Linked DNA regions of Callithrix jacchus. The protein of the gene in region 1 purifies or fractionates together with the protein of each later gene. This does not show direct contact. Links are inferred from orthologs where the notes say so. Each region holds a gene or a part of one and is shown in the gene's direction. Other genes may lie near its edges.

Region 1 (2,787 bases):
CTTTGGGAGGCCGAGGTGGGTGGATTGCCTGAGGTCAGGTGTTTGAGACCAGCCCGGTCAACATGGTGAAACCCTGACTCTATTAAAAATATATAAAATGAAAAATGTTGTGCTTGCTTTGGCAGAGCATATACTAAAATTGGAACAACACAGAGAAGATTAGCATGGCTCCTGCATAAGGATGACATGCAAATTTATGAAGCCTTCCATATTTTTAAAAGTAAATAACATGAAAAATGTTTATAAAGCATTCAAAAATAAAAATATTAAGCATACTGTGCCACATGTAAATGAAAATGAATTACAGTCAGTATTTGCATTGTGGGTTTTTGGGTGAGAGGGGGTTGTTTTTAAGACAGAGTCTCACTCTTATCCAGGCTAACTGCAGTGGTGTGATCGTGGCTCACTGCAGCCTCAAACTGCTGGCCTCAAGTGATCCTCCCCCCTCAGCCTCCTGAGTAGCTGGGATTACAGGTACATATCACCATGCCCAGCTAATTTTTTTTTTTTTTCCTCTTCAAACAGATTCTTACTCAGTCGCCCAGGCTAGAGTGCAGTGGTGTGATCTTGGCACACTGCAACCTCTGCCTCCTGGGTTCAAGTGATTCTCTTGCCTCAGCTTCCTGAGTAGTTGGGATTACAAGTGTAAGCCACCACGCCTGGCTGGGGTTTTTTTTAGTCAGTATATACATAGAAAAATTGTAGGGATATTAACCAAAAATGTTAATTCTCCGTATTGGAATTATGGATGATTTTTTAATTTTTCCTATTTGTCTTTTCTATATTATCTGCAATGAGCATGTACTTTTTAAATAAGGAAAAGGAATTTTTTATTAGGCAACAATTTTTTTAATAGTGGAGAAAAATATTGGGACCAAATTGGTTTAGTAACCTCAATGGTCTGCTGAGGTTTTCTCTAGAATACTTCTTGCCATAAAGGAAAAAAAGAGTCTTGTGTTATAGTTTAGAGACTACAGAGCCGGTGCGATGGCATATACCTGTAGTTCCAGGCATATACCTATAGTACTTGGGAGGTGAAAGCAAGAGGATCCCTTTTATTTTTGCCTTTTTATTTATTTATTTATTTTTGAGACAGAGTCTTGCTCTGTTGCCCAGGCTGGAGTGCAGTGACATGTTCATGGCTCACTGCAGCCTTGACCTCCAACTTCCCAGGCTCAGGCAGTCCTTCCACCTCAGCCTCTTGAATAGCTGGAACTGTAGGTGCACACCACCACATCTGCTTTTTTGTGTGTGTGTATGGAGTTGGGGTCTCACTGTATTGCCCAGGCTGGTCTCGAACTCCTAGGCCCAAGTGATCCTTCCACCTCAGTCTCCCAAAGTGCTGGAATTACAAGCATGAGCCACCCCACCCATCCTTAAAATAATTTTTTAAAAAATTTTTCTAAGGCCACACTGCCTCAATAACCTCCCTCTTGGATTCTCTACAGCCGGGGAGATAGCTGTCTATAAGCAGCCCTAATTTTTTTTTTAAGGAGATTAATCCTTGACTAATAGAAAATGAATCCTAATATGGGATTTTGGATCATATAAAGCTTTGTTATAGAAATACTGATCACTGTAACCACATTCATCGTAAGTATGTATCTTATCGTAGTGTTGTCAGGCACTTCTTTGAAAAACTTACCTGTCCCTAGGAGAAGGATATTTCAGTCCTGTCACAGTTATGAAAAATAATTCGAGCCTGATACAGGAATCCATCTGCCTTTAGATCGGTAATGTTTTCTATTCTTGGTCTTCAGGTGAAGTTTTCAAACCTGTCTCTTTTGTAGGACTTGGAAAAGGAGAGTGACACACCCCTCCAGCAAGTATCCATTGAAGAAATTCTAGAAGAGCAAAGGGTGGAACAGCAGACCAAGTTGGAGGCAGAGAAGCTGAAAGTGCAGGCCCTGAAGGACCGAGGTCTTTCCATTCCTCGAGCAGATACTCTGGAGGAGTACTAAGTCTTGCCCAGAGGCTGTTGCTCTTGAAGAGTAGGGGCTGTCACTGAGTGAAAGTGACATCCTGGCCACCTCACACAGTTGATCAGAGACTGTAGAGTTTTGAAAAATCACTCTTATTTTTCATTCTTTTACACATGAAACATGAATAAATCATGTAGGTGGGTTTTTTTTTTTAAATAGCAAAATCATTGTTTCAAGAAACAGTGGCATAGACTCCTTCACATGTCACTGGCACCAGCAACTACTTTATATTGTTCTTTGTGTCCCGAATTAGAGTTTACAGGGACATTCTTCATTTACTTGTAAATAAAATATGAATCTCAAAAGTGTCATGTTATTTCCAAGTTTGAGTTGCCTCTAATGAATAGAAAAAATGAAGTTTCTGTTCTCAAAGGTATTAGAATCCACATACTGGAATTTTCCCCCTTCAGTCACAGTTTCAAGTAACTGGCTACTTAGGAAGGAATACTTTTATTCTGATCATCTCAAGGGTCCTCTCCTCTTTTCATGTTTGTATCTGATAAGAAATACAAATTTTCAGCCTTGAGGAGGGAGCTTTCAGCTGAGTTTCCCAGTTACTGGCTACTGCAGAAGACTCATGTTTGAGAAACAACATCAACTGTTGCTCTTGCTCCTGCTTCACCCATGGCTGATCTAAACTAAGTCCCCATGAGACCTAACATGTTCTTAAGGTGCTTGGTTCTTCAGATTTTCTGCTAATTTAATTAGGTTTTCTAGTCCTTTGAATTGAGTCTTGAGTCTCTTATGTTCTTATCAAAAAGGAACATAAATGGAATTTTAGTGACCGAAAGCCCATAGTGATGGC
Region 2 (4,197 bases), on another chromosome or scaffold:
TAATTCAGGATGCCCACCCCGTATGTCAAGCCGGCCCCATACCCAGCTACTCCCTTTGGAGAAGATTGCAGCTGCTCCTCAGATGAACGAGGCCTTTAAACTCCTCATGGCTCCCTACCCACCACACCAGTGTTAATCGCTCCATCAGGGGTCTGTAGGAAAGGGAAAGAAATTTGAATCAAAAACTTACTGTTTTTTGAATAATTGAAACAACCAGTAGGGAGTGTGCAATTTGATGTCTTTTGCAAAGAATGTTTTTAGGGACAGGGCTTTTTATCCTATCATGTTTGTTCTTTGCAACTAATTATTTAATTTTAATGGCACTTTTCTTAAAATTTTTATTTACATTATATTTTATATTGCAAGAACTTCAAATACAGCCCTCTTAATAAGTCTGTAACGGTTTTGTCTTTACCCAAACTGAGCTTTTGTAGAAGGATATAAGGAAGTCTCTATTCTTTACCAAATCACATCCAGTTGCTTTCTGTCCCTGATACCAAGGGTTCATTTCTTCTGCCTTTAGCCAAAAGAGGGATACAAGGGAGAAACTCTTTATCTTAGAAAAACATTCTGCATCTTAGATTTTATAACACTTAATGGAGTTAAGGATCTGTGTTGGAAGATCTTATCACTTTGTGTATAGTGTTACAAATCATAAATAAAATAAAGTATAAGTTTTCAGCTGATGAAAGTATGTGACAGGGAAAAAGGAACCAAGTCCTGGTGTGACTGTTCTCTTCTTTTTCCTCTCCAATCCTATTAATAGCAAGAGTATTGAGAATTCATGCAAAATTCCAAACCAAGTTCCCACAGGTAGCACTTAGCTAATGTCTGCACACCATTTTCAATTGGAACTAGTTTATAATGTAACACAATTAACGTCATTATAATTCGGAGTTACTTGAGTGGTTTTAATTATTTTCGTATCAATTAACATTGCCATGGAAACAGTCTCTTGCTAAAATGGCTTAAGTCTTCACACATTTAATCAATATCCAGAGGCAGATTTAAAGACTTGAGGTGTTTGTTTTATTTATTTGTTTGCTTTAAACTATTCAAGGACGTTTCTGGGTACACACGGCAGTTACTTAAAACTGTAAATTCCAGTTTTCTATGACTTCAAGTTATTTTTTACACTGCAAATAAATCCTGCCCAAAAGATCACTTCTAGCTTTCTGGATTTTTGTTTTTGTTTTGTATTGAATTGTATTTGTGTTGTATCCGGATTTCTGTTAGAGGAATTCCTTTGCACCAATTTCGCCACTGGACAAACCAACCAGGATTCTTGGATTTGAGCGCTTTGGCGCGGACCGGCCTTTTCGGCCCCAGCGGGCTGCCGTAGCAGAGAAGAACACTGATTGGCTGAGGCAGAAAAGTACCGCTGCCTCGCCGGTTTCGGTTTCGATTCGATGAAGTCCGCGGAGCCCGGGCTCTTGGGGCACCTGTAGTGAGGATTTTGGATCCCGCCGACGAGGTGAGCCGCGTGGCTGCGCGAGCCGAGCAGCCTCGGAAACGGCCTGCGGGGAGCGGGCTGGGGCTCCGGGGAGGGACTGCTGGGTGGTGGGTCCCCGCGAAATGCCGCTTCCAAGCTCTGTGTGCACGTAATGGCCGGGAGTGATCTGTTGGTGGGCGCCTGGAACCGCCGTCAGCGAGGCGTCTACACTGCGCCGAGAGGAGCGGCACCGTCCCGGCTGGCGTCGATTTGGCGTTCGAGACTGCACGAAGTTGTTCGGAGGTTATCGAAATTCCCCAAGGGAACCCCAGCGCTAATCCCAGGATTCGGCGGGAAAGCGGATCCCGAATCTAGGCCTAGGCTTTGCCTGGATTCTTCCAGGCTTCAGAGAATTGCGAAGCCTACCCTACATCGGAGTGGCTGCGCCTAACCACAGGAATTAAGGACTGGACTAACCTGAATTACCGAGTTGTCTAGTCGGGGAACCCCTTGTATGGTCTTAAGTCCTATCGCCAGAGGTTTTCTATGTGTCCGCGTTTGTGCCCCGGCGCGTGAATAGCGGGCATTTTTGTTTAAGGTGTGTAGGATTAGGATGATTGGAATTACCCCACCCTACTGCTCTTAGTAATACGTGACTGTTGTAGAAAAATTGCAAACATAGAAGACTTTAGTGAAGAAAATAATATTCGCTGAACCCTTTCACCTGCCATCTTTTTCTCCTGTATGTACCAGCGTCTACTTGGACTAGGACTGTTCATGTTTAATTACTTAACAGTGTAGTTTTCCAGTTCCATTTAAAAACTCTTCCTAAATATTATTCTAATTTTGTATCTTCTTTTGAGTGGCTGGCCCATCATTGTGGATCCCAGTGTAGGTCCCATAAATTATTCAGTCATTTCCCGACTGTGGGACATTTGGTTGTTTTTGAATTTTTGCATCATCTTAGCATCCCAGATCATATTTTGATAAACATTTCCCCCCCATCCTGTAGATTATTTCCTTGGACTAGATTCTCAGAAGTGAAATTATCAGATAGATGCTGTCATCCATAAGGTCTTTAGGCTTTCATGCACATTGCTGCAGTGTTTTCCAAAAAAGTTTTAGAGGTGGTTGGCAGTTTTACTTGCTTGAATATTGTGCAGAAATCTTGAGAGGCTTATGTCTGTAGTGTGTATCACTGGAGTTAACTGCAGTAGACTGCCTGAATGTTAGAGCAGGAAGAGACCTAAGTGGTCATCTAGCAAAGCCCCCTTATTTTGCAGATGAGGAACCTGGGGCCATGAGAGGTGAGATGAGTTATCCAAGTCACACAGCCAATTAAGTAGCAGAGCTGGGATTAGAACTGAGGTTTCCTGCCTCCCAAGTGAGTACTCTGTGCTGCATCAGGCAGCCTCTCACTGAACTGTGGCATAGTAGATATTAGAATTTAAAAATATGTTTACATCACTTGGATTATTCTCTTTTTTAAAAGTGTACTAACAGATTTTAATCATCAGAGGGATCTTTAGTACTGAAAAATTGTAAAGTGATCATTTTCATGGCCAAGGCTAGAAATCCGTTATTTAGAATGGCAACCCCTTCAAGGCTTTGACAGTTGTTTTCAGATTCTCTATATGTTAGAATAAAAAAAAAATCCCTGATAAATTATAATCTACACTCCATCATTTGGTTAGATGTAGGTGTTGGTTCTCATTTGCTATATTTGGGAGATTTCTTTAAAACTCCTCACTTTAAGGCCAAAGAACAATGTTGCTGGTTTTTAAATTTTTTTTATTTTAGGGCTTATAGCAGAGATTCTCAACTTCCATGGACTTTTTGGCCTGGACGCATTTGTTGTGGAGGGCCGTCCTGTGCATTGTAAAATGTTTAGCAGCATCCCTGGTCTGTACTCACTAGTATAGTAGTAGCACCACCTTCCTCAGTCATGAGAGTTCATGGTGTCCCCAGATATTTCCAGCTGTCCCTGAGCATGGTGGGGGAGGACAGGGGGGATTGCCCCTAGTTGAGAACCATTTGCTTATAGAAATTATCTGGAGAACTTTATAATGTAATGTATAGTGCCTTTGCCTCAGTAGATTCAGGAATTTGCATTTTAACAAGCATCTCTAGATTTGGATACAGCTGGTTCTTGAATGACAGAAACAGTTGTTTTCTCCGTCTTTGGTGCTCATTATAGAGATTACTTGATTAGTATTTGTTGAAGTACACACTTGATATTACTAGTCACTGTACCCATAGTTTGGGCTGGTGGGGGCTGGACAGGAATTTTGCTTGACACTGGCTTTGAATGTCACTTCCACAGACTTGGACAGTATGCTTAGATACCAGGGTTACCAAGTGAGTGAGATATTTTCCCTGTCCCCAAGAAGCTTAAAATTCACTGTGGGAGATCAGTCAGCAAATGGAAACATTACAAAACGGCCTGATAAGGGCCACGACTGAGAGTGGAAAGAGGTGCTTTCAGTGGACTAACTTCGCCTTTGGAAGAGAGGGAGAGAAGAGGCCCCAGCTGCTCGGGAAGGAGGGATTGTCTTCAAAAGACAGCCCGGCTCTCCACTGTGTCAGAGGGAGGAATTTAGAGAGCTGTCCTCGGTGTCTGATTGCCTCGTCAGACACTGCTATCTTAGTATCACGCTGCAATTACTTGGGTTCTAATGTTGTTTCCTTGCAATTTTTGCTTTTCAATTTTTTCCACGCTAAACTGTTAAGTACTCTAGAGTAGGTAAAAACTTACAGGTAAACAT

The links.
Region 2: the proteins of LSM1 (region 1) and LSM6 purify together in Homo sapiens (co-immunoprecipitation; 3 studies listed by BioGRID and IntAct, counting the BioPlex papers as one, with this or other methods). This does not show direct contact. The link is inferred for Callithrix jacchus from reciprocal best matches to the Homo sapiens genes LSM1 and LSM6.

What each region holds. Positions count from the first base shown.
Region 1 is NC_133514.1:38,988,094-38,990,880, reverse strand, and holds the end of LSM1 (U6 snRNA-associated Sm-like protein LSm1), read left to right. Parts: intron 1-111; exon of another isoform or gene 112-216; intron 217-1,790; coding exon 1,791-1,961; 3' UTR 1,962-2,287; downstream 2,288-2,787. UniProt on the Homo sapiens protein: Plays a role in the degradation of histone mRNAs, the only eukaryotic mRNAs that are not polyadenylated. Probably also part of an LSm subunits-containing complex involved in the general process of mRNA degradation.
Region 2 is NC_133504.1:50,820,501-50,824,697, reverse strand, and holds the start of LSM6 (U6 snRNA-associated Sm-like protein LSm6), read left to right. Parts: upstream 1-1,397; 5' UTR 1,398-2,030; intron 2,031-4,197. UniProt on the Homo sapiens protein: Plays a role in pre-mRNA splicing as component of the U4/U6-U5 tri-snRNP complex that is involved in spliceosome assembly, and as component of the precatalytic spliceosome (spliceosome B complex).